3 linked regions of the Styela clava genome follow. The protein of the gene in region 1 purifies or fractionates together with the protein of each later gene. This does not show direct contact. Links are inferred from orthologs where the notes say so. Each region holds a gene or a part of one and is shown in the gene's direction. Other genes may lie near its edges. The genes, in order: symplekin-like, cleavage and polyadenylation specificity factor subunit 2-like and cleavage and polyadenylation specificity factor subunit 3-like.

Region 1 (7,387 bases):
GCAAGGCCGTAAATACATTCCAAACCCTAGAATACACAATTCTCTGTTTGGGTTTGCTCTTTGATTCAGAATAATTGTAGAGTAAGCTTCTACATTTTGAAGATTTCATTGCGGCTTATCAATTTATCGAATGTTTTGGGTAAACTTGAAATATAGATAAAATATTGAGAATTGAGGACATTATTGTGATGTGCTAGGCCGACATCAATTTACCCTGATAAATGTGATTGAACAGAAACAAACACTTGAGCATATCAGATATTTCTGAAACTGTCTGGTTGCTGATCATCTTTAAAACTGTTATGAAAAGAAACCGTTTCATTTGCAGATTTATATTCAACTCTTTGTTCATCGCAACTCGCTGCTATATCAGCTATAACCTTAGTGCCCAAGTTATCAAGTGCAAATGCCGTAGCTCCAAGATTCACTGCGGCCCCCATGGCTAGATTTGTGGCTTCCGCTGCATCTGGTCCATATTTATATTCCATATTCTTAACTGTTGCTGTGGTAACGGCTTGGGCAATAGTTGAGCCGGCTTTTTCCAGTTCTGTCCAGATTTTACCGAATCCTGCAAGCCCCGATTTCACCACTTTTATCGCACCGTACACATTAGTGCTCGTATTTTCTGGGCTATCTTCTATTGCCTTCGTGAAATATGGGGCAACTTGTTGACCAACTGAAGTTGTGACCGAACATAACCACTGAATCAACCAATTTTTTACCCGGACTGTGGTATCAGCTGCATTGTATGTATATTCAAGGCCTCTTTTGATATATGGATTGACCGTTACTTTCCCTTCTGCTGGGGTCAACTTTGCTTTAATATTGTTTGCACTGCTTTCAACTAAATTGGTAGCATAGTCTGTCCCATTTCGGACATGTTGGGACAAAGCGGTCGCTCCATTTGTTACCGATGCTGCCATGCGGTCACTCATGCTTGGCGGAATGTAATCATCCGCTTCTGAAAATGCTCCTATAAATTCTGATAAATCAACAAATCCTTCGTCTGGATTTTCAATTTGAAAAGCAGCATAAGTTTGAAGAATATTCTCGAACATTTCCACATACTCTCTCGACACATTGCTCGAAATTACGACCCCTATTGCGTACCCTTCTTGAATTCCATCTTCTGTGCACTTGGGGAACATATAGGCACCGTTCGCAGATTTCAAAACCGGCATCTGGTTATTTGCGAGTGGATACACCCAGTCTCCGACTTGAAGTATAGCTTGAGGTCCTCCTGGTGTTACAGAATCTTCCTTCAATAATACAATTTGTAAGGATGCTGGGTAAGACGGAGGCATTGATTCTACTTGGCTCTCTGCTGAGACAAAATATATTTGTGCGCCACTCTCTATAGATAAAAGTGGATCGGCCATAATGTCACTATCGTGGAATTGGGGACCAGACTGAGATGAAAGTGGGTCGTGTAGAGAATATGAAGGCGGGCTTTCGGGCTGTGGAACATCGTGATTAACTGGTTCATCAAAAGATTGTAAATGATAAATTCTCTGTCTTATATTAGCTATGGTTGATATGATCTGTTCTTGCATCTGCCTGGCTTGTTCCCATCCTGCACTGGATTGTTCAAAATCGTGGATATTGTGTCTCAAACCATTCTCACTATGTCTCAAAGCCTGAAGATAGAGTGCCATAGCGTCTGCGTTGTTGTTTGCATCATCTTGTGCCAAAGCCTGCGAAGCTAGAGACACTGATTTAGCATGGCATGATCTGATTTCGTTGAGTATTTCGTCAAAGGCTGGAGGTGCTGACGGTCGAATTACTTGCTGTGCCATGGCTTTATAGTTTGAAAAATATACTGTCACCCCGATATACCAAGTTACTGCCAAATTACCCATTCATCGGGTTTTATTGCGCCTACTTCTGCCCGATATACGTGGCCTAAAGCCCGCTATATCATTTCCCGGTAATTCACCTGCATGTAAAATGAGTCTTAAAAAGGGGATTTCCCTTTGAATCTTGTGATCTCTGAAAATGACATCACCATTCGTCAAGCGTCACAGCTATGAGCCTATGATTCAGCTTTCAAAGCTTTGTTTAGGCTGCAAACACCATCGAGATGTCATCCACAAAAAATCTGCATATCGATAAATAAATTAATGGACATAAACGAGGAAAAGTCAAGAATGAAAAGAGCAGACCAAACCAATCAAGAACTTGAAATGAAAAATTGAAAATTTTTATCTGAATCATTTAAATTTTTAGACCAATATATCACATTTTTTTTTTATATCAAACTCATATGAATCTAACACAATTAGAAAACTTTAGTTGCTTGTTTTGATCATAAATCATGTACGGAGACCAGTTGACCTAGTTACAACCGCGAGATGTCAGACGTCAGCAATTTATTTTCTTCGTTCGAGTGTTGCCAGATTTTATGATCATTAATACATCAATATATATTTTTAAAACACATCTTGTACGAATAAAACAAAAAATGTTATTTCCAAGTGTGAAATTATTGTTAATAAAGGAATTTTGATTTAAAAAAAGTAATGCATGCGCTCTATTATCCACCGTATCTGCATTGATTTCAAATATTTGAGTGATTGTGGCAAAGGTTTATGTAGGTCGTAGAATGCAGTCGGTTTCAGTTCGGTCGGCGCCATTTTTTTTTCATAATTGAGGCGTTTATAAAAATATCTGAATTTCAATTGCCTATTATTTATTTATCGTTATTTAAAGGTATTTATTATTTTATTTATTCTTCAAAAATTGATCAATCCACACCAAGGAACTATAAAAAAAAATTTTTACGGAAATTATGAATTAATGTGGAATATTTTTCCCTCAAAAGTCAGATAGTGTATCTAGAATTAGATTTATTGCTGGAAATGACTTGTGTGTTATAGAAACAGAATTAGTATCACATTTGTTCATGAATTGTCCATTTGTAAAACAATACCGTAGGCCTAGGTATATGATTACCGTATGCAGGTAGGCTATGTTTCCTGATTATCGTGAAAATAACTGGCAGAAACAATTTAATTGATTATGAAACTTGTGTATTATTACATTTGAGTCCCCCTTATCATGCACATTTATTGAATGTAAAAAAAATGATATTATTTTGTTTAACGATAACGAACTCACTAACGCTAGCGATCTCTCACATATCGGGATCGTTACGCCGAGTAAAACAGCTTGCTCGATTTCGATTGATTGTCTGTGCGTCTTGGATGACAGTTAGTACTGTAGTATACCTCGGATGGCCTTATTACATTACTGTGGCATCGTAGTGCAGTAGTGAGTGATATTTTTTTGGCGGATTTTGCGGAATAAACACTGTAACTGCTTAAATAACGCCAAACAGTAGTACCATGCTCAATTATTATTTTTAAGATTAGTTATGCGAATAGTCAGCTGATAGTTTACATAGACTTCGGAAGTGAAATATATAACATATATTTTTGACATATTGTTTTGTTGAAATTTGTAGTTATGTATGTATGGTTATTACAGTAGGGCACACTTTCCAAATTCCAAGAATGTCCCGTTGGTTCAATAAAATAAACACTTCTATGTGTCTCAGAAACGAGGGGCATCGTGCTCAACGGCAGATGCATCTTATTGGGCCATGCTTGTCTCGATAATAATCTACATTATTCCTGGCCGTCACATGATCTAAATTCCCATTATTTGCTAAAAACTCTAAAATGTCATGGTGAAAAAAAAATTTTCTTTTAGTAAATCGGATTATATTTTCCTGAGGAACTCAATGATGACGTTTTCTAGCTACTTCGTAGTTTTTTGTGCAGCTTCATTTTACTATATTTTCACCTATTATTAGAGGTGACAATGTCCAGACGTCCTTTCCCTTGTTTATGGGATTCTTTGGGACGAGACAATGTCTCTCAATCTGTAAGGTGTGCTGTACTGTATAATGATACTAATCAAACCATTCACATTTCAGATCCGTTACCTAACATCCATATATTTGACCTAATATTAATTTATTCCCATCACCAATATGGGGAAACCCAAAAAAACTGGTACAAAATCGCAAAGGTCATCAAATTCCAAAGACCAAGATGATGAGTCAGCATCTTCTCATCAGTCAACATCAGAAAGAGTAATTGATCTGTTAAATCAGGCTTCTATGGCCTCAACGGACCCTGACAAAGTTAACAAACTCAAACAAGTTCAGGAATTAATTGTGAATAAAGAACCAGCATTACTGGATAGTTTTACTGATGAAGTTCTAGCATTCCAAGCTGATAGGTCGCATGACGTTAGAAAATTTGTTGTCGGATTCATGGAAGAGGCGTGCAAAAAAGATAATGAACTTCTCATGAAAGTAATGGCGAATTTAAATTTATTACTCGCTGATACCAATGCGAATGTCACTAAAAAACTCATTCAGTCTATGACACAGTTATTTAGAATTGTGATCTATTGGTTAACAAAGGGTAGTTTCATCTCTGACAGTCATAAAGCTTGTTGGAAAGTGACATGCAATATTCGAGATCATATTTACGAATTACTGGATTCTGTCAATGACGGAGTCCGAACCCAAACTGTCAAATTCGTTGAAAAAGTGATCTTGATTTTGTCAGAGATACAGCGAGGATCAGAGGTACCTAAGAAAACAGAACCTGCGTCTTCTATTGATGAGATTCCATTAAACCACGCATTACTAAAACGGGATGAACTAAAAGCAGACGGAGAAAAAGCTCTTCAGAAATTGTTGGGTTTTATTGCTAATCCTGCTATATCGAGCGTTAATCTTATGGCAGCCATGGGAACCTTATCAGCCATCGCAAAGCAAAGACCACAATTTATGGGAACGGTAGTACAAGCATTTGAAGCATTACATGCAAATTTACCACCAACACTGGCAAAAACTCAAGTCGCGAGCGTGAGAAAACATTTGAAAATGCAACTAATGAACATGTTACGGCTTTTTTCATCAACACAATATCATCCACAAATTACCAATCTACTTTATGACTTGGGTACGACATCATCTGAGATAGCAAAAAATATGCCGAAATTGTCACAACGCCAAAGTGCCGGTAGCTCGCGAAAACGTAGCCCGGATGAAGATAAAGGAGAGGGGAGTGGAAATAAAAAAATGAAAAAAGAGGTGAACGAATATGATGATGATGTTGAAATAGGACCTTCTACGAGCTCAGCACCTGCCCCTGTCCCATCAGAACCTGTGGTCAATCAACACAGTGTTGCTATTGATATCACAGCTAAACAGTTAGTCCCTTTATTATCACCAGAAAATGTCGCTAATTTAGTATTATTGAGCATGGTTATGTTGCCCGATAAAATGCCAGACGCGTTTCAAGCTTCATACACCCCTATTGAATCCGCGGGCACAGAGGATCAGATCAGTCATTTAGCGAGATTACTTTCTATACAAATGACAGCCATGGGTGTCGGATCTGGAGTGCAAAAAGCTGCTGAAATGGCGGCGGAAGAAGACGCAAAAAAGAGAGAAAAGAAGTTAGAAGAAGAAGGAAAACAGAAATTACAAATTCAAACTGTTATAGGAGGAACAACAAAACCAACACCAGTTCAAGAAGACACTGCTCAAGATAAATCGAAGAAAAATATCGAAGCAATGATATCATCTCAGACAGTCGTACCGAACCGTGGTTTGCCTCGCAGAATCCAGGGTTTTCGATTAGAAAGTATCACTACCCCTCTCGATTTAGACACAAAAGATAAAATCATCAAAAATGCAGTTTTGAGAGTCTTGAGATCAGAACAAGCTGCTAACGCTGCTGGAGTTCATGCCCAATGGTCAAAAATTTTAACCAGTCTTGTGGCACAGTTTGGTGGAGATCTTCATAGAGCTTTAGCAATGTTTATTTTAGAAGATATTAGGAATCGTTCTTCCCTTGCATTTGCATGGTTGTATGAAGAATTCAATATATATTTAGAAAACAGTCGTGGCTCGAATGACAAATCTGCACAAGAAAATTACGATGCCTGTCTGACAGGACTTTTACAAGGATTCAGAGAAAAACCAGAAACACGAGACAGTCTTTTCAATAAATTGGTAATGCAGGCACCTTTGTTAACTGATGGGGCGATAAAACAAGTCCGTTTGTATTGCGAAGATGAAAAAAGATCACAATCGGGAATTAAACTTGTTAAGGACTTATTGCATTACAGAATAACGAGAAAAATGCAGTTTCTTCGTTTATTACTTGATCTTTGCGTCAGTAAAAATGAAAGTACCCAAACCGAAGCTGTTGAATGTATAAAATCAATTTTCCTACAAATTGAATTACAGGATTTCATCCGAACATATGCTGTCACTCATCTTGAATATTTATCAAACTCCGCACCACCTTTGACCCTAGTCCCAGAGGGAACACCGGTAGATGCTAAATCAACATGGACGGAAACCCAAATGAAACAATGCATGACGTTATTTCTCGCTTTGCTACCGTTGGATCATAATTTAATCGAAACACTTGCCGAAGTTTATGTAAAAACAAGCGCAGATGTGAAACGAGTTGTCTTACGAATCCTTGATAAACCTGTGAGCCAAATGGGAATGGAATCGCCACAATTATTGCGCCTCGTTGAAGGATGTCCAAAAGGTGCGGAGACTCTTGTTACTAGAATGTTGCATATACTTACAGACAAGACCCACCCAACTGTAGAACTGGTGCAGCGTGTCACAGACTTGTATGCAAAACGCGTCCCTGATGTACGTTTCCTTATACCAGTCTTGAACGGTCTCGAAAAGAATGAAGTTTTAAAAGCTCTTCCGAAGCTTGTTCGATTGAATCCTCCGGTGGTGAAAGGAGTATTTAATCGATTGCTTGGAGTCAATAGAGGACAACAATCCGAACCATCTGTGAGTTCTCTGTCACCTGTGGAGTTACTGATCGCACTTCATAATATGGATTCAAATACTGCTGATGTGAAAAGTGTAATAAAAGCTACAAGTTTATGTTTTGCTGAAAAAGCAGTTTACACATCGGAAGTTTTGGTTACTGTTATCAACCACTTGGTGGAGCAAGCAGAAATTCCGACTCTGTTAATGAGAACGGTAATTCAGTCCTTGATCACTTATCCACGTTTATCAGGTTTTGTTATGAATGTTCTTCAAAGATTAATTTTAAAAAAGGTTTGGGAACAAGAAAAAGTATGGGATGGATTCATAAGATGTTGTCAGCGTATGAAACCCCAGTCGTTTCAAGTGTTACTACAGCTTCCTTCCGTGCAATTATCTTCTGTTTTCGATTCCGCGCCGGAATTACGGGAACCTATGTTGCAATACGTAGAACGCTTTACTCCGCAACAAAAACTTCACGTCAATAAAGACGTGCTGGCGTTGTTAGAACGGAAACCAACTCGAATTGAACTGGAAAAAGCTGTAACTTTGACTATTCAA
Region 2 (8,157 bases), on another chromosome or scaffold:
CGAATTTACTTTTTTGACCTAGTCGATAGCAAGGAATCTCTACTACACGTTTTAAATCAAGGTGGTCCAAACCAGACACATTCCTTGCAGCCCACAGAACAGTGTCAGCGTGCAATAAACCATTGGTAGATATTTGCATTTATTGGCAGAACATTTTCTAATAATTTTTAATTTCGGAATTTCAAAGTTGTATCTATAGACGTCAAGACGGTGCCAATATGAGAATGACGTCCTGTGATAGGTAGAAGGAAAATGAATTGTGTTGTGCAGACAGAACCAAGCCGATGAGATGAGTCGCGCTTTTTATCGAAACTTCGTGCCTTACGCTCGCGTCAAGTAACTCCTCATTCGGAGACCCGTTTTGTTTCTTTTTTTAGTTTAAAACACTCCATTATTTTCAAGCGTTGGCCATGTGGCAGCAATGTATTTACTTACTCACAACAACATTAAACCACAGTGTCTGGTGTGTTTTCAAATAATATCTGTCACGAAAGACTGTTATTTTAAGCAACATTACAAAACCAAACACGGGAAAAGCAATTTTAAAATACCTAAAGGCTTTATACAGTAGATATCATAGCAAGAAATTTTACCTACTCGTTTTAAAGGATTGAAAATCTATGTTTTAGTGGGTATTTTAATTAAATAAAAACGTGTTATTTATAAGTAAATGAATATCGGTTTTCATATTTTGTATATTTGGAAATCTAAAAATTCTCTAATTGAAAATAAAAGACATCCCCCCAAAATAAGCCCTAGAGTTATTTTTTGAGAGAAAATTGAAATAAGACATTGTATTATTTTCAGGGAAACACGGTATGTTTAGTAGTTCTTTCAAATAAAAACGGGTTACAGTATTTATAGGTAAATGGATACCGGTTTTCATATTTTGTATATTGTCCATATATGTAAATCTCGTAATTCTCTACTTTGTAATTTTGTTTTTGATAAATGAAAATAAAAGATATCCCCCAAAAATAGGCCCTAGTGCTATTAAAGACACTGCCTATTTTAATTATCTATTGAAACTTGGGGGGAGCCGGATTTCATGCCAGGACAGCAGGGTGCTTGTCCCATTGTTTGTATAATAGTAAACATTAGTCCAGGCCTATTTTACGTTGCCCAAAAAACAACTACCACAGTAGTTCGAGACAGGACGACTTCCAACAACTGGCTTTTAGCGGCCATGGCGAGTTACTCATCACGTTACCTGAAAGAAACTGAAGCCGTCTTTCGAAACAGTCAACGAAATACAATCTATCTGTATCTCATCAGTGCAGTGGTTCCCAGCCTTTTTTCGTATCGCGGCACACTATTGAGCTCTTTAAATATTCGCGGCACACCTATCACAAAACATGAACATTTTCTACTCATAAAGCCTTTCTGCTATAAACTAATTTAAAGAAAAGAAGATCAGATAAGGGGAATTTTATTCATATGAAGACAACATACCCCGCATTTAGTAACAGGTATATAATATTAATAGTGAATTTCAGCCATACTGAGCTTGATTCTACAAATCACCTGAAAAGGCAGGGTTCAGACGGATGGCGGATACCTGGTTAGGCGATAATTTCATCTGTATTTAAACACATGTCGTTTCCGTCCTAAAAAAATATCATCATCAGGTATTCACACTTTTGCACAACCTAATTTTTTTCAAATTTAATATCTTCCTCCCGTTGCCAAAATTTGTCGGATAGAATATTTTTATCGAATCAAATAATTTTAACGAATCGTCAAATATCGGGAATTATTAATTTGTATACCACAGGCATCCAGAACGCTAGACATTCTATTGTTGGTGAATTCGGGATTTTATTCCGATTTTCATATTTTGCGCCGGCTTTGATCTTTCTCGCCACCGTTTGTAAATTAAGTGTCCAAATTTTAGGGTGAAATTATAATATTTCTGACACCGGAATCAGGATATTCATGGATACGATAGTTGACCTCCTTATGATTTTCTTTCTCCATTGTGCCTGTTTTATTTTCGTATTAAATAGCCAATGAAGAGTGCGTCTGTAAGTTAATGTGCCAATTTTCAACAGTATACAGTATTATATGGATGTTTCCCCAAGCATCGACTTCCTTGTTTACTTCGTGACATCGGCCAATCAACGAGATGCAAAAAGTGACGTAACAATGCATCCGCTGGGTCATTTTTCTCACTCATGGATTTTTTTTTTCAGTGCATAAAACTCGTGAGAACGGACGTGAGTTTGCTTTTGTCCGGAACGTTCGTGAAAGTGGTACCGGGATAGGCAAGTTCACGAAATATGATATAGGGCATATGCCCAGTTATACCAGCAGTTTTCTTTCGTTGTCGTGTATTAATTGAGTAATAATGAATTGATTACTCTGGTGATACAGGTTTCATTGTTCCATGAGCAATAATAATTTTGTTCGGTTTTATATCATATTATTACGACAATTGTATAATATGACTATATATATATCGATATCATTAGATCCCCCCCCCCCTGATTATGTTTTACCAACTTTCATGACCTTTACCTTCATGACCTTTCATGAACCGATACAACTGCACAGGGGTACCGAGTCCAGGGCTGCCACTCTAGATGTTTTATATCTAGATCAACGGCTAACATGATCTAGATCTAGATGTTTTTTTCAAGATCTAGATGTAAAATTTGGAGCCTAGATGTTAGCTATAAAATCTAGATTTTTTTTCGAAGTTTTGAATATTATTCAATGAGAAATAAATAAAGAGATGTGTATAATACTGTAGCCCAAGCCTCATTTAATTGGGCTTGTGTTTTTGTGTGCGTGCTGGTGGGCAGGCACATGAGATACTTCATGTTTTAAACGTTTTTGTAGGTTTTGCTTGCCCTCCAGAATTCTCCATTTTAAATTTAGGTTTGTTATGGAGTTTTCGAAATAAACTATCTATCTATCTAATAGGTGAATGAATATTACCGTATTTCATTATTTAGAGGTACCGGTATTGATGTAAGATTGATAAAAGTCATTCATATTGTATTCGTCCCCCGGTATGGTACCATACAGCCATATGTACTTAAAATATTTGAATAACGAATTAAACATGATTAAAACATGTGACGTTTTAATTAACGTTAAATAGAAAAGAGACGTTTTCCGGATGATATTGTTGCCAAGGGGTTTTAAAATTATTAAGTTTATAAGTGCTATTGAATGTGTCTCTCTTTAAACATCAATCTTTCAAAATGCCAAAGTTTATACACTACCAGCAAAAATTTAGAAAATTTTGACTTAAGGCTGTACAGCTGTACGGTAAGGGATGGTTTGCCCCAGATGATAAGAACAAGGTCTTTTGTAAGTTCTGCAGATGGGAATTGAATTCTAGATTATGATGTTAGCTTCTTCGACATCTAATATTACTGTTTTATGGTTACTTTTCATTAAATTAAATGACTTCATAAATAGATGTTTTATTTTTTAATCTGGATGTTTCTAGATCAATCTACAGATCTAGGTGTTTTTAGTCAGGCAAAAGTGGCTGATCCTGAATACTAGAATACCGTTACTTATAGAATAAAACAATGTTAGAATGTGAATTTCCCCAATTCAATATTACATATTTCTTTGAAAATTTAGTTTTGTGTATATATTTATTTATTCTAAGATATAAAAATGCTTCCCCTGTTGATAAAAGGCAACTTTATGCCTGGAATATCTCACACAATTCAAATTATTACCAAGCAAATGCGACCTTTACCAGCTGCAGTAGCATTGAAAGCTCAACTACCTGATGTTGCCCAGAAAGCAGTTACTAAACTACCTTCTGCTGTACCAATGGCAACTGTTTCTATTTTCGGGGCTCCTTCAGTAAGATATGCGCACACTGATGCTGCAGTTCCTGATTTCAGTGCCTATCGACAGAAACTTAAAGATGATGTAAGCGATTTTAGAAAGACAGAAGATGAACGGAAGCTCAGAACCAAGACATATCATTATGCCATTTCAGCTGGAGTGTGCATGGGAGGAGTTTATTTGGCCAAATCTGCGGTAACTATGTTCCTTAAAACAATGAGTGCTTCAGCAGATGTTCTTGCTCTTGCATCAATAGAAATCCCATTGTCCGAAGTTCCTGAAGGAAAAAGCATTACTTTCAAGTGGCGAGGAAAACCTCTTTTTGTTCGCCATCGGTCTCCTGATGAAATTGAGAGAGAAAAAGGAGTTAATGTTGCAGAGTTGAGAGATCCACAGCACGATGCTGAGCGTACTCAGAAGGAAAACTTTTTAGTTGTTATAGGAGTTTGTACCCATTTAGGATGTGTCCCAATTGCCAATGCTGGTGACTTTGGTGGTTACTATTGTCCATGCCATGGTTCTCATTATGATGCGTCTGGTAGAATTCGAAAAGGGCCAGCACCATTGAATCTTGAAGTTCCAGAATATTCCTTCATTTCCGATGATATTATAAAAGTTGGTTAATGACTTATGCCTGACCATTTTTATACATCACATGTTATTGCGAAGTCATTTAGTATAAAAATATAGGGAAATATTGTCAAAATAAACCAGGATTTTGAATTTTGTTATATTTTTGGACTGTTGTAAGTTGTAACTTTATGTTTCCAAGTATTAGAAACACCTCTAATTTAAATAAAGCTGTTTCATGGAATATTGGTTGTTGATTCTTTTCATATTTCAAATTAGTTTCAATTTTGAATATTTATAATTTCTATATTCACTCCTGAATAATATTGTTTTAAAACAACATTTAATCGGAAATTACTGTCTGGAATAATGAGATTAATATTGGAGCAATCTGTTGACTAAATATGAGGTTAAATTATTTTGCATATGATGTATGTATGGATTATATATGTTCCACTCAATGATGTTATTAACAAATGTCTTGTTTAAAATTGGACTTGAATATTAGAAACTCTTGACTTTTCATTAGTGCTTAATTAATATATTGTTTGTTTTTTGAACGTAGATGAATTAAACTTTTTCAACCGGCATGGTATTTATGAAATCTGTTAAAATATGACATCTATAATCAAGTTCACAGCACTTTCTGGTGCTCAAAATGAAGAACCAAACTGCTATCTTCTGCAGGTGATTTGTTGTTATTGTCTTTTCATTTGTTCTCTGTGTCTTTTAGGAGCAGTTTTTTTATAATTAGATTGAAAGTTCATGTTCAACGATGTGACCACTGAAACGTAATTAGATTATTTTGCCTTCACAGAGAATGCGTCTAGAACGGGCTTCTCAAACGGTGGGATAATTTTTTGGGGCTTGAAGCTAGGTGAAGGATATTTACATTCTATCCACATAATTTCAACGTGTTTTTTGAATAAAACATACTTTTGCCTACGATCTGTTATTTGTAGCCTATTATTATTAGCTAGTTATTTTTGAGATGGGACATGAGACTCCACACATTTAACTTAAAAAGTTTAGGAACCACTGGATTCTAGAAGAAGCAATGACTTTTTCTCTCGAAAGCAGTCTTGTAAAAATACAAATCTGTAATAAATGTTTCTGAAGCATGTTATCTCCATATCAACAGGTTGATGAATTTACGTTTTTGCTGGACTGTGGTTGGGACGAGTGGTTTTCTGATGGCATTATAAAAAAGATAAAAAGGTAGCTTTGCATTTTTCCTCCAAATTGTATGGAAGTTTTACAGCACTGTGCGCTATCATGGGAAATAGTTATTCAAATGAATCTACTCTATTCGCTTAATGCATTGCATTAGCATTTTTGTTGACCCTTTGAGGAGGTTTGTCATGCTGACTACTTTTACCCTGCGAATATACCATTTGTCTTATTCGAACAGCTATTAAAAAGTACCCTTCAATAAAAGCAATGTTTCCCAATACTAGGAAGCCTGTAGTTCTCAAACTTCATGACCCTTCAGGCCTTCACCAATAACTCTCACTCTCAGCACTTTATAAGAATACATAGGTTTGCTTTTACTGTGTTTTTTCATCACAAATATTTTTCACTATGTTCAATGATGAAAACAACAACCAGGATAATAAGTGCATTGTAGTCAAAGAATTAACAAAATCACAGTCATTTACTTCAAATTAATGTAGTCATGACAAATGATACTTAGTAAAGGCCTTTGCTCATTGCCCCCACATGACCTCTCTGTGGCCCTCTTGGGTGACCGAGGGCCCAATTTAAGAATCTGGGCCAAGCACAAGATGAGATTTCAATGATTGAAGCACAGAAAGCTTGTTGATTTTTCATTGTTTTGAAAATAGCAAGGATGAGAAACATTCATTTTAGTGGAAGAAAACGAGTGTTGTCTTTTGTGGAATAGCCACATATACGACTATTGTGCGACTGTTTTGGGAGCTAGCAGGGCTAGCAACTGATAACAAGTACATCCATATCTAGGGTTCAGCTAGATCCAATGCTAACTTTATTACCATGATCATCTCTTCTCCAGACAGAATTTATTAGAAAGGTTTCGATTTGAATCTCATATTAGCCCTTTTTCTATTGGCACCACTGCTGTGTGAATCGATTTATGAAAGTTTGGGGCATATGGTGGTAATGGGATTAACACAATATCTTTAACCGCTGATGGCACAATAATTCATTGGCAACACATTGTCACCCTTTTTTTGGGATGCTGAGGTATTCAATATTAATAATCATTTCATTATTTGTAGGTATTTGAGCCAAATTGATGCTATCTTACTTTCATTTCCTGATCCTCAACATCTCGGCTGTTTGCCTTATCTTGTTGGAAAAGTTGGATTGACTTGTCCGATATATGCAACTGTTCCCATCTATAAAATGGGGCAAATGTTCATGTATGACTTATATCAGGTATTCTGCAACAGAGGATTTGCATTTTTCTGCCTCATTCCTTCATCATTGCTTTGTAAGAGTTGTAAATTTAATTTAATGGCTGAAGTCAGTCGGGGAACAAATATAGCTAAAGTTATATTTATCCTGTTCAGGTAATCGGTGCACAACTGCACATCGTTTAAGAATTCATAGATTATCCCACAAAAATGCCATTTTCATGGGAGTCAACAATGCCATTGTTAGCATTATTCCTGATGCTCTGCATCACTATACTAGGTACAACATTATTGAGTTTTCTTCAGAACCAAATGGAGAGAAATAAGGCCATTGTTTGGTATATATTTCACTTATGTTATTTGTGATAGCCTCATTGATAGGGTGAAATAATTTATCACTCCTCAATTTTATCATGCAAGTTTGCAACTGGAGAATCAGATTTGATAATGATTGGGATTTGCTGGATATTTGTTATTATTGTAAATTTAACAATGGTTTTTCCAGTCTCATCACAACACCGAAGAATTTGATAAATTTACACTGGATGATGTTGATATGGCATTTGATAGAATCACTCAACTCAAACATAACCAAACTTTAACTTTGAAAGGTGAGGTGTAAATAAATTTTGCAGTAAAAAGGCCTTGATATTCTTTTCATACCACAACATTCCCAGATATATTTGTCTTTATCGGTGATAAACAATGGTTCATGACCCCACAATGTACATGTACCGTATATCGAATTGCCTGAGTAAATGAGAATGTTCTTTTTTTCCTCCACACAATGATTTGGTCTCTGTCTGAATGGTTGTTAGTCCATAGATGTAAAACAGTAGAAACTTTTTGAAACTAAAAACGTGACCGACTACTACTGGTAATTGTTTTTGTTTACTTGGTTGCTTGTTGTATGTAGGACTTTCTGTCACTGTCATTTGAATAAATGATGTAATCACATTAGGTAATTTTGAAATGATACATTTTTTGATTATTTTCTTAAAATACATAGACTACAGTCTACAATACAAAAAGTATGCTTCCATAAACAAGTGGCAAAACTAGAATTGAGACGTGAACACCAAATTCGTAAATCAGTGCAATTACGTAACATATGTGTTTATTAATCACCGTTTTAAAATTGATTATTGATATAGTGTCCACATAATGGTAGAATTTTCAAATGAACAAAATTTCGAGTAGTGAGGGCCTTCAGTGACAGTTGGAGACACCTCAAATATAATTATGGAGAACATGAAAAAAACCAAAACTTGAAACTGTTCATGCAGAACTTTTATTTCTATGTACGGTTTAGATAAAGGTCACGGCTTATCAATAACCCCCATACATGCTGCTCATATTATTGGAGGGACGTCAT
Region 3 (8,466 bases), on another chromosome or scaffold:
CATAACAGTATTCTCATGTAATAAAATGAAACAGCAAAATTTAGTTGAAATATCAGGTCCCATGGGAAACAATAGAAGTAATAGCCTTCTGATGATTACGTTACAGTTCTATTTAAGCACTGACAATTGTAATCGATTGGTGGTCCATTAGTTGTAACCGACCAACGTATACGTGAGCCACACTACGACGGCGAGTAGTCCAGCAATCCTCTCTCACATAATTATCCGCCACGGCTACGGGATTCCAATCTGCGAGCCAACACAGGGTAATCAGAGGTGCAGACGCTTGCCACGATGAGCCTAAGATCTGTGCCCGGTTCGTGCCACCTGCAATGCTATCGATACTTATCCATCCACTTGAACTACGTAAAAGTAAGATTTTGTATTGCGTAAGTTCTCGTTCGATACAAATTAGTTTAAAGCCAACAATTCTGCCAGGAACATGAATTGTGCGGCTTTGCTTACATTGAATCCAGCAATGACTGCAACTTACATTGCCGATCCACAAGTGCAAAGAGGGAGTGCGTGCATTTATCATACGCGGCTCGGTGGTTTGCTCACCATGCGTTGGATCATGCTTGACATCGCCCCACCGATTACCCTGCGCGAGTCCGCGACATCGGGAAATCACTCTATGAAGAAAGCCGGACGGTAGTCGATGTTCAGTTTAGATTCCTCCACCAACAGGGCTTATTATTAGGCTTTTCTCGGTACGAATACAAAAAGGCCCTACCTGGACGTCATCCAGCGATCTCCCACTTTTCTCAACCTTATATTGGACGTACATATCGTTGCTCGTTTTTTAATACAACTGTCGTGAAATTTATTGTACTTTCTCAATTTTTTTACAAAGCTATTTGTAATATCACAAATCAGGTTACAAATCTACACTGTAGCCTAGGATCATATAATTGACCTAATTATGATGTCATAAAATGCAATAATGTTACATTGCAGATTTAAACTTCATTACATCGGTTGTGATATCAAATTATGAATTTCTTCGAATTTATTTTGACAGTGAGTGTAGTCACAGAATACCCCATCTCTAGATATCGGCCAATATTTTCTAAGCTCTTGTGTCGCTACAGAGGACACAGCCAAGCCTTAATTATATGATAATTTGTGGTGCTCCAGAAGTATGCGTACCAAGATGTCGCACAACCTGAATTCTAACCGGTACACAACACTATGTTCAGGTTGTGCGCCATCTTCTTCCTAATTTGTTTTATTTGGCTCAGTATATTCTATATATTTAAATAAAACTATACTTAAATTAGTAATTATAGTGTGGTATCACACCTCAAAATTAAGAGGGGTGTCCACCCCCAATAGCGGGTGTAGGGAAATCACCCATTTGGCTTATTTTTTATAATAGTATGCGACTTGAACAAAAGAAGGTATGCGATTTGATGTTTGAAATTTTTTATTCAAAATGCATAATATTAACAAAGTAATAATAATATAGGAACCAAAAAAAACAAAGAGTAATTTCAATATCAGAGCTTGTATCACGATTTCACACCCATATATGTTTCATTCTTTTTCTTATTCGTTACTAGTTGAAATAAAGTCTCGTCATCAATATTATTATTGTCCAATTCACAGTGTTGTAGAGGTAGAATGTCCCATTCGAATACTGATGACATTTCTTTAAGAAATAGTGGCATGACTTCTTCAACTGTGACGTCTCTACCGGTTTGCAAGCTTAGAGATGTCACGCCTTTGTCTAAGATGCCACAAGGAACTATCCGTGAAAACCATAACATATCTGTGTTGCAATTTAATGCCAGTCCATGTGAATATGTTTTTTTCTGAGCATTAATACCTGATGAAAATAAAGTAATTTAATAAGTATAACTTATCTCAAGCAAGCTCACAGTGAAATAAATAAAACACATCTGCGAGCAAAGTGAGTGAACACATACAACTTCTTTTTGGCAATACCTTCCATCTTATATTCTGTACGCATTAAACCTTATCTAAGATGAGTCGACGGAGTCGAAAAAAACTTATCTAAGTTACCTTATCCTACCTACCCCCTTGGATAATTTAACAATAATGCTTGATATTTGAATATCGCAATTCATTTTATTAATATGGATACCAAGATATTTATACGATTCCACATTTCTAAGAATAGCCCCCCCCCCCCCTCCCCCAATTTAGATTTTTTTCGACAACAAAAATAAAATAAACTTTGATAAATAAAAGTCTTAAAATTAAACTGCCCATCAACTTATCAAATCTCACCCTTGAACTCACCCATTGCACATATTTTATCGTTCCCAACCCAAACTCCTGTGTGAGGAGATCGAATTCCTTCTATATTGTACCTGGAAATACATTTCAGATTTGCTATTGAAAGAGGAAAATTCAATTCAAATAGAGAACTTGCGCACCCACTTTATGCTTTATAAAGCATTGGGCGCTCCAAAAGCATGTGTACGGTTATGGATAATTTTGTTCACCTACTTTACTTCAAGTTCAATAAAATTATGGCCTAACCATAACCTGGTACACATACTCCGGGAGTACCAAACAGTGACATATAAACCATAATACTTATTATAAACATGAACAAGTTTGCATTGATAATTTTCTGCAAAATGCCCCATGAACTTAACAAATAATGACTATCAATTCATAATATACCACAATATTGCATCTTCTTGCACAATCATCCAAAAAATAGTTACTCAATATTTATGGTAGATGTTTTGGTAAAAGTTGGATTAAATGGTTTTTTGGAAACTTTCTAGTCAATATGTGTATGAAATGACAAGCTATGATTAGCCGACCTCAGTTCCAAAAATAATAATTTCAATGTGTGGTGGCTAATATGCAATTATACACAAATTACCACTTGGAAACTCAAAACCAGATAACAAAACATATTGAAATATAATGAATGACCTTACTTTTTACAAAGGTTAATGATAACTTCTTCCAGCAACCAAACATACTTTCTTACACCGATTTCTATCTGAAGTTGACTGAACACAGGATAAACAACTAACTGACCTGGCCCATGAAATGTTATCAGACCTAGGAATGAAAGTAAATCACAATTTATGTACGAAGGGCTTGGATAAACATTTGCAACTCTTTGATATTGTAAAGCATAATCTTTTGATACCCTTGGATATCGGAATCTTCCAATGATTATTGAATTCACTTTACTATGAAAAAGTGATGACGTGATGCATTGAAATTGATAAATTTTTACAGACATATACTACCGTATATCAAATATAAAGTAATGATAGAACCTGTGTGAGATATTACTCTGCCATAAATTTGGAGCCTGGTAATGTTCCGTTGTAATTTCTGGATAGTTAATCAAAAATAGTTAACAGAGGGCATCATTAGAAATGAGTTAAAATCATCTTGCCATTTTAAATATATTATATTCGTGGGTGGCAGACATTGGAACGTAGTATGTGTACCAGACTACCAGGTTAGGGTTAGGCCATAATTTTATTCCAATTTTCCTTATTTTAGTTCTATTACGAGTTCAGGGACTAGCCAAGTGACTCCCGTAGTATTTGCACCTGAAATCATAGCCAAATCGGGTACACATACTACATTCCGGTGTCCGCCATCTTGATTCACATACTTCGGAAGTACCTATTCGAATATGCATAATATAGCATAATTTAGTGTATTCAGTAACAAAATATTTAATCTTTGAAAACTTTGATAGTATTGTAGTTGGTGAAGTGACCACTGGTACTCCTTCCCTACTTAATGTCTTTTTTAACTGAAGCAATTAATTTTTATCTGAAATTTACCTCCTCTGTCAGTTTTCACAAAATCTGCTCCAAGACTTTCCAGTAATTTTTGCTCTTCATCTGTGTATTGCTTGTCTCTGTAACCTGTGTAATATTGTTAGCATTGAACAGTTGAATAATCCATGTGCATTTCCACATTAGGTGTAATTATTCTTTTTCAAGTTGAACTCAGACATAAGTATTTCTGAAGTTAACAAAACCTACCTATCGTATACACAGGGTTGTGTTGTAATAATAGTAAAGTAGGACTTGCAACTTCTGGTTGAACTTTGTTCCAATTGACAAGATTGTGTTGAAGTTTTAAAGCCTGCAATAAATGAGACATTACATCAGTACATTGATTTCAATTGCATAATACCAAAATATCACACTTCCTCAAAAATTGAGGGTAAAATCTCCATGAATCGATGAAAAGGGGTTGATCAAAATATTATAAATGGAGAAATGCATGATCTCATTTTGCAGCTTTGCCACCAGATACATTTAACATCTGAGGGCTGGGTGGTGTCTATGACTGCGTTAGGGCAAATTATCCGTGTCTCATATAACTATGAAACTGCTAGAATGTATAATATTTAATTTTTTTTATTTGTGTTTGAATATTTTCGTTGGAGATACCTACAAAATTAAAATGTCTATAGAATGTTTGAATGTCAAAGATACCGTACTGCCGTAAGTAAGATTATAATAAAGGCATGCTAACCTTTTTATATCTCACAGTTCCAAGATAAAAAGCACGCGCGAGTGGTCGAATCTTTTCCATTTTCTATAATTTACGTTTTTCGAGCTCGCCGGTTTGTTTCAAAAGATTGAATTAACGAATACATGAAACTGTGTGCGACAAATGCAGCTCAGTTACCTCCAAAAGTCACGTGATTTTGTTGGTGTATGAATGCATTGATGCGTATATTTATGTGGAAGTTGGAGTTGAAAGAAAGAAGTTTCATTTTTTCGCAAAGGCAATCATGAATATCGTACGTAAGCATGAATTTGATTTGAATCGATATTGCATAAAACTGATTTGTATTTGCAATTGAACAAATTAATTATATATCTCGCGTTTTTCCCGTCAAAATAAATTCTCAATTCTGTGAAAAACTTTCATTCAATTGAAATCTCCGGTCACTACTCAGTTCATGCTCCACATTTCCCAAAGAACCGGTACTGGTACGGTAACTGATTCTCTCGGAACCGTGTCTTATTCGTCTCCTCGTTCGAAGGGAAATAAACGGATAAAATGGCGAATAGTGGACAGAAGACCGAAGAAACTGATTTATTAAAAATCACTCCGCTGTGAGTAATATACGACTCCATTTCTTCTATGTCTGACAATGCATCTATGGAACCAATTTGAGATTTTTGTACTGGTTTTGCAATCTTCAGATGTTACACTTCAGCAATATGCTGTATTGTAAATGATAATTTTTTGTTCAACATGATTCAATTTACAGATTTAGCGTTTTTTTTTTATAATTTCAGTGGGTCTGGTCAAGAAGTTGGGAGATCATGTCATTTGATGGAATATAAAGGAAAAAAGATTATGGTAGACTTTTATTAAGGATTTTATTTTTTGGTTGTTGAGCACTATTTAAAGTTTTCGTTCCATTTTTTTTTTTCAGCCAACAATTTATAATACGATGGACATGATAGTAGGGCCTAGTTCCCAAATTCCAAGAATGTTTCGTCATTTGGTTCAATAAAACGAACACTCCATATGTCTCACAAATGAGGGTTGTCTGGCACGACGGCAGATGCGTCATATCGCGCCATGCTTGTCTCGATAATAATCTAAATTAATCGAGGGCCATCAAGTTACCAAAGTTGCCGTTTTTTGCTAAAAACTCTCGAATGCCATGGTAAAAATCGGATTATTTTTTCCCGATGAATTCAATGATTACGTTTATTAGATTGCGCTTCTCTTTAGTTTATCACGCAACTTCTTTTTACTGCATTTTTACCGACATTGAGGGACAACAATGTCCAAACGTCCCCAAAGGGAGGGGTGTCTGTTCGTCGCAAAATGGGATTCTCTGAAACGAGACAATGTCGCTCCATCTTCAAAGTGTGCTGTATTGCATGATGGTTTAGTGAGCAGAACTTTAGATCAACAATGTTGTTTGGTTTCCATACCCATTCTCCTCCACCTTTTCTAAGGTATAGAATCCCATAATGGAGGATGATTGGGAGGGACTCCTGGGATTCCAAGAATAGTGACATCTTTGTGTATCAATGTCTGCATGCTTGGAGCCTTAGCTGTTTTGGTAGAAACTTGTGGAAACATCAGAAAATAGAATTCAATCTAGTTCAATTCTTTAGTAGAATCTAGTTCGAGTGGGAGTGGTGACTCCTCTACGGCCCATGGGTCGGGGCCGAGGCCCAATTCAATGCTATTCCCAATTCATCAGGCTATGGGCCGCGACCCATCGAGTTATGTAAAGGGACTATTCACTTGGCTAACACAGACAGTCTCCGAACTCATAATAGAACTATAATGTGAAAAATCTGAACAAAATTTTGTCCTAACCCTAGCCTGGTACACATACTACAGGAGTATCCTTTTCTGTAGTTTGGTATTATGCTTTATTTTTATATAAAGGCTTATCGTAAGAAAAAAATTTGGTGGCATCCCACGATTTTTTTTTGTTTTGAATATTTACAATTTTGTAAAAAATTGAAAATTTTGGTAAGATAATTGAATTTTTCCTGATGGGGCCACGGCCCATAGCTTGATGGGCCACAGCTCATGTGGCCCAATTAGATGGGCCGTGGCTCCGGCCCATGGATCATAGAGGAGTCACCACCCCTGTAGTCTAGTTCAATCTGGTTCAATCTAGTTCAATTTTTTGGTAGAAACGTGTGGAAACATCAGAAAATATAATTCAATCTAGTTCCATTTTCATGCTCACCGCCTATTATTCATGAGTGTAATAAATTGAGTATGCAATGGAACTGGGCCGAAAAGATTTTGGCCCATTCCAATAATAGTAGCCCATTCCGTAACAGCTTGTCTAGTGTCTGTTCTAATCTTCATTACTAATACTTTTCATTTTATGCAGCTGGACTGTGGAATTCATCCAGGGATTAGTGGATTAGCAGGCCTTCCGTATCTTGATTTCTCTGATCCTGATAAAGTTGATTTATTGCTTGTTACACAGTAAGTAATTTTATTCTGAGTTGAATTTAAACCTAAGTCCTAAGAGAGAATTTAATGTCTTACCTTAGTATGTGGTTTATTAAATCGGCAATAATTTCAAGTATATAAAGTCAAGTGGTTTCATCTTTCATTTAATTTGAAAAAGAGATAAGGCGTTTCAATATGGGATATACCAAGAATTAAATTCAATATTTTTATTGTTTTAATTTGTCTCTTTTTTTTTGTGTGTCCTGGGGTAATATTACCTAGGTCATGGCCCCGTATGGGAGGCTTTAGCACTCATGGCCCCCCTTGTTCACCATATCAAAAAACTATTATGTTTCATTATGTAGATCTATCAAACAAAGGGTAAAAAGACAAATGTGTTTAATAATAATGTACAACCTATTACAAAAGTATTCAGGTAATGAAACTATGAAGAGCAAGGTATTTTCTTTTGAAGTGAAAAGTATGCAAACGAAATGTGATTGAAATCAATTTGTCATAATAGTATTGTGGCCTCCTATGACTACTCTGGGGCCCTCAGTTAGAAACCACTATTCTAGTCTAATATTATTGACAGAATCTTAACCTTTTTTTCCGTTTTATCCAGTTTTCATCTTGACCATTGTGGAGGTCTACCATGGTTTCTACAGAAAACTCCTTTCAAAGGACGAGTGTTCATGACTCATGCTACAAAAGCTATCTATAGATGGTTGCTTTCTGATTATATCAAAGTCAGGTAGGTTTGATCTTTTTATATTTATACTTCAAGGCAATAATATTTTGGATAACTTAATTCTATTTTTCTGGTAAAACTATATCGGAAGAATGTGAGAATACTACATTTGCCAATTCTTGTTGTTTCTTTCGGTTTTGGTAATTACTGGAAATTTAAAAAAATTGAGAGAAAGCTGGATCATTTCTATCTCTGTGGCATGGAGGCAACCGTCATTCAACTCACTTTCAACTTTGTTGAAAGTTGTCCAAAAGTTTTGAAATGTTTTAAAATTGCAAGCGGAATTTATCGATACCATATATTGTTTCGGCCCTCACAGATGTATTCAATGAAGTAAAAATAACTAAACAATTTCTGATTAAAAACAAACATACCTGGTTAAGATATATTGGGAACTGACTTCGTAACAAAATGGATATTGTAAAGAGATCTTATGGACACCCTGTTCTTTTTTGGACAACTCATATTTAAAAACTAACTCATTATAAGATTAATGTGATCATGTATTTCCTTCAGTAACATATCGACAGAGAATCAACTCTACACAGAAAGTGATTTGGAAGAATCAATGTCAAGAATTGAAACCATTAATTTTCATGAAGAGAAAGTTGTTGAAGGAATTAAATTCTGGTGTTATCATGCAGGTAGAATTGGATGTGAACTTGGAATGGTAGATGGAAGCCAAGTTTTTTTTACGCCCAATACTTTTTCTAGTATATTATGTTACTGACACAATAATGATAAGTAATGTTTTGTGTTCTGTCAGAATAATGGTTTATGTAAATGAATGAAAAAAAAAA

The links.
Region 2: the proteins of symplekin-like (region 1) and cleavage and polyadenylation specificity factor subunit 2-like purify together in Drosophila melanogaster (affinity purification with western blotting; 3 studies listed by BioGRID). This does not show direct contact. The link is inferred for Styela clava from reciprocal best matches to the Drosophila melanogaster genes Sym and Cpsf100.
Region 3: the proteins of symplekin-like (region 1) and cleavage and polyadenylation specificity factor subunit 3-like purify together in Drosophila melanogaster (affinity purification with western blotting; 3 studies listed by BioGRID). This does not show direct contact. The link is inferred for Styela clava from reciprocal best matches to the Drosophila melanogaster genes Sym and Cpsf73.

Annotation. Positions count from the first base shown.
Region 1 is NC_135263.1:4,745,031-4,752,417, forward strand, and holds the start of symplekin-like, read left to right. Parts: upstream 1-3,938; 5' UTR 3,939-3,994; coding exon 3,995-7,387. Other genes in the region: spartin-like, read right to left, coding at 255-1,859. UniProt on the Drosophila melanogaster protein: Component of a protein complex required for cotranscriptional processing of 3'-ends of polyadenylated and histone pre-mRNA. Involved in germline stem cell transit amplification, differentiation and mitosis-to-meiosis transition.
Region 2 is NC_135251.1:30,702,268-30,710,424, forward strand, and holds the start of cleavage and polyadenylation specificity factor subunit 2-like, read left to right. Parts: upstream 1-4,949; 5' UTR 4,950-5,001; coding exon 5,002-5,073; intron 5,074-5,527; coding exon 5,528-5,604; intron 5,605-6,644; coding exon 6,645-6,804; intron 6,805-7,287; coding exon 7,288-7,393; intron 7,394-8,094; coding exon 8,095-8,157. Other genes in the region: cytochrome b-c1 complex subunit Rieske, mitochondrial-like, read left to right, coding at 3,637-4,440. UniProt on the Drosophila melanogaster protein: Component of the cleavage and polyadenylation specificity factor (CPSF) complex that plays a key role in pre-mRNA 3'-end formation, recognizing the AAUAAA signal sequence and interacting with poly(A) polymerase and other factors to bring about cleavage and poly(A) addition.
Region 3 is NC_135251.1:10,436,474-10,444,939, forward strand, and holds the start of cleavage and polyadenylation specificity factor subunit 3-like, read left to right. Parts: upstream 1-4,945; 5' UTR 4,946-5,031; coding exon 5,032-5,087; intron 5,088-5,273; coding exon 5,274-5,337; intron 5,338-6,850; coding exon 6,851-6,948; intron 6,949-7,540; coding exon 7,541-7,669; intron 7,670-8,182; coding exon 8,183-8,310; intron 8,311-8,466. Other genes in the region: octanoyl-[acyl-carrier-protein]:protein N-octanoyltransferase LIPT2, mitochondrial-like, read right to left, coding at 1,512-1,828, 2,266-2,336, 2,922-3,048, 3,795-3,878, 3,999-4,101, 4,498-4,557. UniProt on the Drosophila melanogaster protein: Component of the cleavage and polyadenylation specificity factor (CPSF) complex that plays a key role in pre-mRNA 3'-end formation, recognizing the AAUAAA signal sequence and interacting with poly(A) polymerase and other factors to bring about cleavage and poly(A) addition.